3 linked regions of the Macaca fascicularis genome follow. The main gene of each other region encodes a partner of the protein of the gene in region 2 in a complex. Links are inferred from orthologs where the notes say so. Each region holds a gene or a part of one and is shown on either strand. Other genes may lie near its edges. The genes, in order: HUS1, RAD9A and RHNO1.

Region 1 (3,744 bases), on a different chromosome or scaffold from region 2:
ATGACATGCTCATTAGAGTCGTGAGAAAGCAAACCACAGTGACCAGAGTGAGTGTGGGGGAGTTTCCTTAGACTGACGAGGTGACATTTCAGATACCACCAAAAGCAGCAGCCGTGGGAAGACAGGAACAAGGGGACAGGGTTTCAGGCTGGGGAAACAGCACATGTAAAGCCATGAGGCAGAAAGAAGCAAGCCTGCTATGTTGATGCAACCAAGAGAAGGCCACTCTTTGGGCATAGGACACTCAGGGGGCTGCAGTTTCTAAACAGTTAAAAGGCAAACTATATTTACTTCTAGGGGCTTCTATGAGACTCGCAGAACAAAATATCTTGCACTTTTGGACCTAAAATATTATACGTTACTATCTTGCTTTTCCTTAATAGGAAAAACATACCAAACTTATGTTGTGACATGAAATACCCTAATTAGCTCTAAGAACTGCCTGACTGCAGAGTCGAGAGTTATGAAGAAAAGTTGGGTCGGGCGCGGTGGTTCATGCCTATAATCGCAGCACTTTGGGAGGCCTTTGAGAGGACGAGGTAGGTGGATCACTTGAGGTCAGGAGTTCAAGACCAGCCTGGCCAACATGGTGAAACCCCAACTCTACTAAAAAAATACAAAAATTAGCCGGGTGTGGTGGTGGGCGCCTGTAATCCCAGCTGCTTGGGAGGCTGAGGCATGAAAATCACTTGAACCTGGGAGGCGGAGGTTGCAGTGAGCCGAGATCGCACCACTGCACTCCAGCCTGGGTGACAAGAGAGAGACTCAGTCTCGGAAAAAAAAAGGAAATACGAACCTCATTCCATGAGTAACAAGAGCAACTCTGGGTTGTATGTGTGCGCATGAGGTTGTGTATTTGTGTGTTTGGAGGACAGCTGTGCACTAAATTCATCTGGCAGTAGCATATAAAACATATGTGTACTGAACAATGAGGGGCCATTTAAAGGTTATCAGAGCAGATGAGGCAGGGTAGGAGTGGGGAGAAAATGTGTCAACGGTGAAAATGCATAGAAACCATGATTTCTAGACAAGGTGACAATACCACTACAAGAAATAGAGAGGCTGGAAGTTTTATGGCTTGGAAAAAGCAGCAGTCTAGCCGAATGCATAGGATAACAACACTATTTTAAAATGAGGAGGAACTGACTCTAATGCAAAATATAGTTATGGACCAGCTCTTTAAATTTAAATAAACCAAATAGCTTTCAACAATATTTATTGCTAAAGAGGCTAGGCTAACTATGTCTATTCCTTCGAAGCCAAGACTTCTGTGGGAAATTTCTGAAACCCTGACTCTCCTACTCACCAGCTCCACGGAGACTGTGAGGCAGGGAAAGTGTTTATTAGTCAGTTTGATTTTCAAGGCTCTGGCATTCTGGGCAGTTTTCAAGGCTCGAGATAAGTTTTCCGATGTTAGCTCTAAATAAATCTCATTGTTTTCTGCAGAGACACCCTCCATTTGAAATTCGTTGAAGAAGTTCTCCTAAGGGAAAAACATGGGGGATGAGGCAGGGCACTTGTGGTCTTTCCAGAGACAATCTGCAGATTGCAGGCCTCTCAGAAGTTTTTGCTCACCTGTTCCAGCTCACACCACATGCTCACTCCTCCATTAGCCAGCTTGTCACAAAGGATGAAGTTAAGCTTATCAGGGCTGATGCGGAGGGTGCAGGTTTTGGCAAGCTTGGCTATCATGTTACTGATTCCTAAAGCAGGGGTTAAAATAAGGAATCACTAAAACGCACATCATGTATCCTAGAGACCAACTTATTTTACAGAATTTCTTGTTCATCATGGTGCAACTTCTCGGTGGAAAAATAACCACTTACATTGGTATCACACTGGAAAGTATGATGTCACGCAATTCTCCCAACAAACCCGGGGAGATGTACAGCATACATCATCAGTGCTCAAATAAAAAAACAGGCACCTACTAGTCATTCATTCATTTAACACGAACTTATTGACTACTGGGTACCGCAGTACAGAGTTCAATGCAAGGTTAGGCACTGTCAGGGTGGAGGGACGAATGGGGCCTTGAAGGAATGTCAATGCCTGATAAAGCCGTCTGTGGGAGCAGTGGCCGCTTGCTTTTAAAGCCGCGTGATCGGAATCAAGTTTCAGAAACGTCCCTTGAAAGCCGCCTTCACCCCAAGTGCCCTACGATCCGACCCGCGCACTCCCGGCCCATCATCCCGCGGCCTCCACCAGCACCCCTATGCCTGCCCCATCCTCCCGCGGCCCCTCCCGCGGCCCATCTCGCTGCCCCTTCCACCGCCCATCCCCGCTCTGATCTTCCTCCGCGGTCCCCACCGCGCGCTCACTGCTTCCTTCCGTTCCTCCCTCGCTCCCCTCCGGCCTCCCTGCTCACGTGTGAAGTGGTTCAGACAGGCCCCGTCCACGATCTTAGCCCGAAACCTCATGGCCGCGCCTGCCGCAGCCGCGACGGCCTCTGTGGGTAACAGATAAGTGTCGCGCCCTGAGTGTCCCGGCCCGGAAACACGGCGGCGCGCACAGTGGTTCCGCCCGGCTCGGGCTACCCGGCTCTTGCCAGGATTGCCTCCGGGCCACGCCCCTGGGGTGGTGGGGCCAGGGGTCACGCCCCAGAGAAGGTGGGGTCACGGGTCAAGGATCACAGGTCACGCCCCGAGGAGGTGGGGTCCCAGTCTCCGGGTATGCCTCGGCGCTCCGGGGTAATGTGGGATCTGCTTTTAGTGAGGCGGTGGCTTCAAGCCCCAGATTTGGGGAGGTGGTTCTGAGAATTCACGTTTTGAAAGAATTTTGTGACACCTACTCCAAGTGCTATTTAAAAATATCCAAATAAAATTAGTCGTTTATAAAGGTTAAACAATATTATCTTAAATATACCTCTCTAAGGTAGAGCAGCTTTAAACCCTCTAGCCTCCGATGACGGTACCGGTACTTTGGTATTGAAGCATCTTGGTTGATTAAGGTTCTGAAAACTGTTTTAAATGACTTTTTAAAAAATTTAACATATTACTGGCTAGTTGGTAAAGACGGGATGCTTAAAGAACACTGACGTTAAGTGGTAATTCTGCAGTTTGCCTCAAGATGAACTTTATTACATCCGATAAAATTCTTATTAGCATAAATAATGTCATTAGGTTTTTTTAAAAGGAAAGAAATTTTTTTTTTTTTTTTGAGACGGAGTCTCGCTCTATCGCCCAGGCTGGAGTGCAGTGGCCGGATCTCCGCTCACTGCAAGCTCCGCCTCCCGGGTTCACTCCATTCTCCTGCCTCAGCCTCCCGAGTAGCTGGGACTACAGGCGCCCGCCACCTCGCCCGGCTAGTTTTTTGTAGTTTTAGTAGAGACGGGGTTTCACTGTGTTCACCAGGATGGTCTCGATTTCCTGACCTCGTGATCCACCCGTCTCGGCCTCCCAAAGTGCTGGGATTACAGGCTTGAGCCACCGCGTCCGGCCCAAAAGGAAAGAAATTTTAGAGGGGGAAATGAAGCAACAATTGTATCTAATTTGGTTTTTCAAAGACTAAAGATTATCTATGTTAATTGTTATTTTTAATGCCCTCTGCAAATAGGAGCCTAGACCGTTGTCTTTAACTTGACATATAGAATCAAGACAATGCAGATGATGATGATGATGATGATGATGATGATGATGATGATTTTGAGACGGAGTCTGGCTCTGTTACCCAGGCTGGAGTGCAATGGCGTGATCTCGGACCTCTGCAACCTCCACTTCCTGGGTTCAAGGGATTCTCCTGCTT
Region 2 (3,744 bases):
TACTAGACTGTATTTCCTGAGAGCAGAGAAAGTGTCTTTTACATCTTCATATCCCTCAGAGCACCCTGCACAGTTCCATGTACACAGTAGGTGCTCAAAAAATATTCATGGAAAGCCAAGCACGGTGGCTCACACCTGTAATCCCAGCATTTTTTTTTTTTTTTTTTTTTTTTGAGACGGAGTCTCACTCCGTCGCCCAGGCTGGAGTGCAGTGGAGCGATCTCAGCTCATTGCAAGCTCCGCCTCCTGGGTTCACGCCATTCTCGTGCCTCAGCCTCCCGAGTAGCTGGGACTACAGGTGCCCACCACCACACCCGGCTAGTTTTTTTTTGTATTTTTTAGTAGAGACAAGAGGTTTCACTGTGTTAGCCAGGATGGCCTTGATCTCCTGACCTTGTGATCCGCCCGTCTCAGCCTCCCAAAGTGCTGGGATTACAGGCTTGAGCCACCGTGCCCGGCCAATCCCAGCATTTTGGGAGGCTGAGGTGGGCAGATCACCTGAGGTCAGGAGTTCAAGACCAGCCTGGTCAACATGGTGAAACCCCACCTCTCCTAAAAATACAAAAATTAGCCAGGCATGGTGGTGTGTGCCTGTAATTTCAGCTACTTGAGAGGCTGAGGCAGAAGAATCGCTTGAACCCAGGAGGCAGAGGGTGCAGTGAGCCGAGATCATACCACTGCCCTCCAGCCTGGAAGATAAAGTGAGACAAGATGTTTGTTGGACGAATGAAGGCTTGTTTGTGAAATTATTGGATGTTCCCAGATTTTTAAAATATATACTTTTTTCATTAATTTAAAACTCCTTGTTACAATTTTCTCAATTAACACAAAGCTTGAACTCAATGCAAGCAGCATAGAATTCTTATGCATTCCTTACAACCATGAAAGTAACCAGTCTTATGTAAATACATAATTCTATATTCAGCTGCTTTTGCATCATAACATGTAAGTACTCATATCCTCTATGAACCTTAAGTGTCTACCCTGCTATGTGGCATTAAGCCTGCATCCTCCCTAAATGCTGTGTGGTAACGCTATAATTCAGCCTACAGCTGAATGGAGGCAATACACTGGCCTTGAGCATCCAACCTTGGGTAAAAAGACTCAGGTTTCCCCATCAAAATCAGCCTCAAAACCATCCTGCCTAGCCAGGTGTGGTGGCTCACGCCTGTAATCCCAACACTTTGGGAGGCCGAGGTGGGCAGATCTCTTGAGGCCAGGAGTTTGAGACCAGGAGTTTGAGACCAGCCTGGCCAACATGGGGAGAAACCCCATCTCTACCAAAAAATACAAAAATTATCCGGGAGTAATGGCACACGCCTGTAGTCCCAGTTACTCAGGAGGCTGAGGCACGATAATCGCTTGAACCCAGGAGGAGGAGGGTGGGGTGAGCAGAGATCACACCACTGCACTCCAGCCTGGGTGACAGTGAGACACTGTTTCAAAACAAACAAACGAACAAAAACCAAAAAACAAAAAACCGTCCTTCCTAGGAGAATGAACTTGCCCAGAAATAAAGTGAATTCAAAAATTAAGAAAAGGTCTTATGGTGGCTAGGGACTGTTGTAGAAATTGTCAGAAACGATAGCTGGGACCTGGGATAGCACTTCCTCTATGCAGTCCCTGGGCTAAAAACTTACATGTGTCATCTCATTTAATCCTCAAAAACCGGAGGTAGTATTAACATTATCCCCAATCTTGCAAATGAAGCAGCTGAGTCTCAAGAGATGTAATAAGTTTGTCCAAAGTCACAAACCCAAGTTTCTCTGACTCTAGATCCCAAGCTGAGAGTCTTGCTCAGATCATCCCAGGTTCCTTTCTTTCTTCTTGCACTTGGGGTGCAATAAGGGGCAATGGAGCCAGCAGTGTGTAACATACTGCACCGTCGGAAGAGACGTTAGGGATCATCCGTTTCAGCCTCCTTATTTTACAGAAGAAGGAACTCGTAGGTCACACAGAGCCAGGGACGGCTCTGCAACGGAATCGCAATGGGCACTAGAATTCCAGTCCAAGCCTCATTTTACAGAGCGGGGGAACCGAAGCCCACAGGGCCTGGGGGCCTCCCGGGTTCCGAATCCACCAGCGGCTGAGCCAGATCCAGCCCCGGGCGCACTCACCGCCCTGTCTGATTCTACCTCCGCGTTCACCTGAGCCGCGAACCCTCCCCGTGGGCTGCCAGCTCCCGGGAGTACCTGTCGGCCGCGCAAAGGCCCTCGGCTCGCGGTGACAAGACGCCGGCGCGGGCGAGCGGGCCTTCGCGGGCCACAGCCGGACCCCGGCATCGCGGACCCTGGTCGCCTCGCCAGCCCCTTTCCTCAGAACGGCAAGGCCTCAGGAGCGTGTGCACGCCGGGACGCCCCAGATTATTTGGAAGCGCTGGTCCCGGAGGCAAGGCCGGCTTGGTCTCCTCTCCTCAATCCCCCTACGCCGCCCCCTGGACCTTCTGCAGACCGGGTCCCAGCCCCAGAGTACCTCAGGAAAAAACCACACCGCGCCTCGCTGAGTCAAGCGGCCGGGACTCTAGAAGGGGCGAGGTTCCCATGGCAACGAGGGAAACTATTTGCGCCTGCGCAGAGGCGCTAGGCACGCTGGGAAATGTGGTTTCCGGGTTGTCCCTGGAAGCTAAAGGAACGGACACAAGGTGGCGCGCGAACGTTGCGGTCGATGTGGCTAACCCGGGTCCCCAGCTCCCGGGCGCTGCGGGCACAGGAGAGGCCGCGAAAGTCTGAAAGGCAGTTTCTCTGAGGCGTTTGGGATGCGGAGTGAAGAGAAGGCAGAGTCTCTTCCGCGTGGTTGATTTTGCCGTTTGAAAACTTGGCCTAACGAGGGACCGCCCTGTCCGGGGCGAGGGCGACCGCTTCCGAGGCCCCGCCCCAGCCTGGGCTGAGCGGGGCGCGGCGGAGGGAGGACGCTCTGACGGTGGGAGCTGGATCCGGAGGGAAGCGCGCCGCGGTCGTGCTGCAAGGGTTCCAGGTCTGGTCTGGGCGACGCCTCGCGCTGCTGAGGCTCCTGTGCGGGGTGGGAGTTGAAAGCTGGCTCCGGGAGCAGCAGTCATCCTGATCCTCCCACCCGCGAGCTCCGAGCACTTCTAGATCCAGGTCCCGCCTTGGGCGGAACTGTGCAGTCAGTTGACTGCCCAGGAGCCACCTTCCCCACTGCCGAGTTAGGCTCTTGGAATCAGAATCTAGAAACCCAGGATCTGATTCCGGCTCTGTTAGACTAAGTAGTTACTTCTCTGAGCCTCAGTTTACTCATTTCTAGAAAACGATGGTATTGGGCCGGGTGCGGCGGCTCACGCCTGTAATCCCAGCACTTTGGGAGACCGAAGGGGGTGGAGCAGCGGAGGTCAGGAGTTCGAGATCAGCCTGGCCAACATGGTGAGACCCCCGTCCTCTACTAAAAATACAAAAATTAGCCGGCGTCGTGGCACATGCCTGTGATCCCAGCTACTCAGGAGGGTGAGACATGAGAATCACTTGAACCTAGGAGGCAGGCGGAAGTTGCAGTGAGCCAAGATCGTGCCGCTGCACTCCAGTCTGGGCCACAGAGTGGGACTCTGTCTCAAAAAAGTAATTAATTAATTAATTGCTTAAAAACGGTGGTAATCATAATGCCTGCCCTTTCTCCCTCTGGGAGTGTTGCAAGATGATGACATTGATGTGTAGGCTGGGTAGTCCGTTAAGGACACAGGCATTGCCATTCACTATAAATTGGTGCACTTTCTTGGAAAGAAAGCCTTTGCTT
Region 3 (3,744 bases), on a different chromosome or scaffold from region 2:
CTGCACCCCAGCCTGGGCAACAGAGAGAGACTCAGTCTCGGGGGGCGGGGGGGGAGGGAAATTAGCTGGGTGTAGTGACGTGTGCCTGTAGCCCCAGCCATTCAGGAGGCTGAGATGGAAGGATCACCTGAGCCCAGGAGGTTGAGGTTGTAGTGAGCCAAGGTCATGCCACTGAACTTCAGCCTGGGGGACAAAGTAAGACCCTGTCTCTAAAAAATAAAAAGATTAGTAAAAATAAATATATAAATTGTTTTTGAAAAAAAAACTGAACTCATTCTGAGCATTGCTTTGTAGTAAAAAAACAAAAACTGAATTCATGATCATTCCCTTGACAACCCCACCCCCACCTCTTGGCCAAAGTGATTATCTTCCAGGGCCCTTGGTCAGGGAATGGTGTCATTATTCCTTCAGCTATGCAGCCAAAAATCTTGACACTTCTATTTCCCATCCAACCCACCATCAAGCCCTGTCAACTTTACCTCTTAAACATGTTTTCGTAATGCCCCTTTTTCACGCTGTCTCCTTCTTTTTCTTCTCTCTCTCCCCGCCACCATTTTTCAAGCTCCAGCAGTTCTTGCCTGGAGTACTGCAATATCCAACTGTTCCGCCCTAATCCACTCTAGCAAACCCCGCTATAGACTGACCTTTTAAAATGCAAATCTGACCTGGGTTCACTTCTGCTTAAAGCTTATGATTGGCTTCCTTTAATTCTTGGATAAGCACAAAACTTCTCTGTATGGCTAAGGCCCCGCTTCCCCTGGCTCCAGCTTCAACTCACACCACACTCCATTCAGGTCAATTAGCTCAAACTCTTCAGATATTCCCTAGCCTTTGTACTCACTGTGCTTCCTCCTGCCATCCAGCCTTTGCACGCCTGATTCCCTCTGCTTAGCGCGGCTCCCTCCTTTCTTTGTAAAAGGCATCAGATCTCACACCAAGCTCTCATTAGAAAAGCCTTTCCTGTCCTACCTCTCAAGATCTTATTGTAAATACTCAAAGTATCATTAACCCCTCATGTTTCACTTTACAGCAATAATGCCACATTTGTTTGTTCGTTTTGAAGACGGTGTCTTCCTCTGTCACCCAGGCTGGAGTGCAGTGGTGTGATCACGGCTCACCATAGCCTCCACCTCTCGGCCTCAGGTCATCCTTCCACCTCAGCCTCCAGAGTAGCTGAGACTACAGGCATGCACCACCACGCGCGGCTAATTTTTAGTAGAGAAGTGGTTTCGCTATGTTGGCCAGGCTGGTCTCGAACTCGTGACCTCAAATGATCCACCCGCCTCGGCCTCCTAAAGTGCTGGGATTACAGGCGTAAGCCACTATGCCCAGCCCACATTTGTTTATTTGATTCTTTTATTTTATTTTATTTTATTTTATTTTTTTAGAGACAGAGTCTCACTTTGTTGCCCAGGCTGGAGAGTGCAGCGGTGCAGTCTTGGCTCACTGCAACCTCCGCCTCCCAGGTTCCAGTAATTCTCCTGCCTCAGCCTCCCAAGTAACTGGGACTACAGGCATGTGCCGCCATGCCCGGCTAATTTTTTTTGTTATTAGTAGTAGAGATGGGGTTTCACCATGTTCGCCAGGTTGGTCTCGAACTCCTGACCTCAGGTAATCCGCCCGCCTCGGCCTCCCGGAGTGCTGGGATTACAGGCGTGAGCCACCGCGCCGGGACTATTTGATTCTTTTAAAATATCAGTGCCCCTTTTCCACGATTGGACTGTGAGCCCGGGGGAAGGAAAGAACCTTGTCTGCCATTGTATCTTCAGGACCTGGCGGGACCTGGCACAGAGCAGGTGCTCAACTAGACTGGTTGACTAAGTAAATAAAGAAAGCACCACCGTCTACCATAGCCGAAGGCTTGGCTTTGGGAGGAGCCAAAGACAGGTCAGTACTTGAAGATTTCGCGCAGAGGTAGGGTTCGTGGGGCCGACATTTTTTTCAAGATGGAAGAAAGCTGAGATAATACACAGCCCTCAAAGAACCCTCAGTCTAATCGGGGGGAGCAGACGATCGTTCACTGTACGAAAACGGGGTACGATTTTCCCCAGGAAGGAAATCAACCGAAGCCGACCTTGGAAGAGGGGAGCAGAGCAGCCCGAGGGGAAGCGGGGGCGTGTCGCCCGGCGTGACTATGGCGGCAGGGAAAGCGGACCCAGGGACCCGGGCCTGTCGCGCCGCTTCCGCACGTCCCCAGACTGTCCCTCCGCTCGCCCACCCACGCGGCGGGGACCCCTCCGGCCCCTCCCAGGCCCCACGGCCACTTCTTCCCCCGCAAGCCGGCCCGCGGCCCGCCTTACCAGCCCGGGCCGGACTGGGCCGCAGCTCCTGTCAGATCGCACAGCCTTCGAGCCCGGAACGCCGAGACAAGGCCGGCGCCGATTGGCGACGTTCCGTCACGTGACCTTAACGCTCCGCCGGCGCCAATTTCAAACAGCGGAACAAACTGAAAGCTCCGGTGCCAGACCCCACCCCCGGCCCCGGCCAGGGACCCCCTCCCCTCCCGGGATCCCCCGGGGTTCCCACCCGGCCCGCACCGCCGGGGACCCGGCCGGTCCGGCGCGAGCCCCCGTCCGGGGGCCCTGGCTCGGCCCGCAGGTTGGAGGAGCCCGGAGCCCGCCTTCGGAGCCACGGCCCAACGGCGGCGGCGACTGCAGTCTGGAGGTGAGCGGGATACAGGAATGGAGTCCCGGGCCTGGCCTGGGCACAGGCGGGGAGCGAGGCCTCCGGGCGCGGAGGTCAGGGCGTCTGGCAGCAGGGCACGGGCCACGAGTGGAGGTTTGGGCCACACGGGAAGAATCTGAGCCCGGGTGCAAATGTTTTCTGCATCCAACCTCCTGGCCGGGGCCGTCTCATTACTTAAAGCGCCCCTTGGCCTTCCCTGGAAGTCTGACCTCTGCACGCTGCCCACGGCCTCGGGAGGGCTGGGGTGGCCTTTCTTAGGCCGGCTGCGGCTGAGATGAACACTGAGCACAATTGTACTACGTTGAGTCAAAGACCAACCTGCACACATACTCCCCTGCTCCCAGGCTCTCACCACTAGGCAGCACTGCCTCCGTCTTACCCATTTGCAGGGCCCTTCTCCTGGGTCCTGAGAATGTAGCAAGATTTCCCCGCTCAGGATGGAGATGGCTCAGAGGACCACTCTGGAAGTTTCCCGGGCAAGAAAGTGTTGGCAATAATAATATCAGGCTGGTCAGAAAGTAGAAGAAAAAATTAAGACCTAGATATCCTGTGGAAAAAGAGGAATAATATCTACTGATCGATGCGGGGAGAGAGGGAAGCCTGGAAAGATCTGAAGTGAAAGTAAAACTGGCCGGGCGCGGTGGCTCACGCCTGTAATCCCAGCACTTTGGGAGGCCGAGACGGGCGGATCACGAGGTCAGGAGATCGAGACCATCCTGGCTAACACGGTGAAACCCCGTCTCTACTAAAAAATACAAAAAACTAGCCGGGCGAGGTGGCGGGCGCCTGTAGTCCCAGCTACTCGGGAGGCTGAGGCAGGAGAATGGCGTGAACCCGGGAGGCGGAGCTTGCAGTGAGCTGAGATCCGGCCACTGTACTCCAGCCTGGGCGACAGAGCGAGACTCCGTCTCAAAAAAAAAAAAAAAAAAAAAAAAAAAAGAAAGTAAAACTGAGATTTGGAGGTAGAGGTGTGGCGGGCCTGTGAACTCTGCAGATGACAAATGTCAAAAAATTACAGTTGCTTTTCAGGGAGAGAATAAGTGTCCTAAAAAAGAGACA

What was found.
Region 1: the proteins of RAD9A (region 2) and HUS1 are in contact, whole or in part, in a crystal structure (PDB 3GGR), measured with the Homo sapiens proteins. The link is inferred for Macaca fascicularis from reciprocal best matches to the Homo sapiens genes RAD9A and HUS1. Residues at the interface, in NP_004575.1 of Homo sapiens: Leu157, Pro158, Pro161, Val176, Ala186, Lys191, Ala192, Met193, Val194, Thr195, Glu196, Met197, Cys198, Leu199, Gly200, Asp203; in NP_004498.1 of Homo sapiens: Thr84, Asn87, Arg90, Ala91, Lys93, Thr94, Phe110, Ser121, Ser123, Ser126, Arg127, Ile128, Val129, Thr130, His131, Asp132, Ile133, Pro134, Ile135.
Region 3: the proteins of RAD9A (region 2) and RHNO1 are in contact, whole or in part, in a crystal structure (PDB 8WU8), measured with the Homo sapiens proteins. The link is inferred for Macaca fascicularis from reciprocal best matches to the Homo sapiens genes RAD9A and RHNO1. Residues at the interface, in NP_004575.1 of Homo sapiens: Val41, Ser44, Arg45, Ser46, Ala47, Tyr48, Glu130, Leu132, Gln133, Ala134, Val135, Glu165, Tyr181, Glu183, Thr216, Phe217, Cys218, Gly244, Pro246, Val261, Leu262, Ala263, Thr264, Leu265, Ser266; in NP_001239428.1 of Homo sapiens: Thr88, Lys90, Phe91, Pro92, His93, Leu94, Thr95, Phe96, Glu97, Ser98.

Annotation. Positions count from the first base shown.
Region 1 is NC_088377.1:82,497,498-82,501,241, reverse strand, and holds the start of HUS1 (checkpoint protein HUS1), read right to left. Parts: upstream 2,472-3,744; 5' UTR 2,421-2,471; coding exon 2,369-2,420; intron 2,323-2,368; exon of another isoform or gene 1,827-2,322; intron 1,704-1,826; coding exon 1,576-1,703; intron 1,484-1,575; coding exon 1,307-1,483; intron 1-1,306. UniProt on the Homo sapiens protein: Component of the 9-1-1 cell-cycle checkpoint response complex that plays a major role in DNA repair. The 9-1-1 complex is recruited to DNA lesion upon damage by the RAD17-replication factor C (RFC) clamp loader complex.
Region 2 is NC_088388.1:7,055,855-7,059,598, forward strand, and holds the start of RAD9A (cell cycle checkpoint control protein RAD9A), read right to left. Parts: upstream 2,523-3,744; 5' UTR 2,473-2,522; exon of another isoform or gene 2,193-2,472; intron 1-2,192. UniProt on the Homo sapiens protein: Component of the 9-1-1 cell-cycle checkpoint response complex that plays a major role in DNA repair. The 9-1-1 complex is recruited to DNA lesion upon damage by the RAD17-replication factor C (RFC) clamp loader complex.
Region 3 is NC_088385.1:3,748,208-3,751,951, reverse strand, and holds the start of RHNO1 (RAD9, HUS1, RAD1-interacting nuclear orphan protein 1), read right to left. Parts: upstream 2,375-3,744; 5' UTR 2,301-2,374; intron 1-2,300. UniProt on the Homo sapiens protein: Involved in microhomology-mediated end-joining (MMEJ) DNA repair by promoting recruitment of polymerase theta (POLQ) to DNA damage sites during mitosis.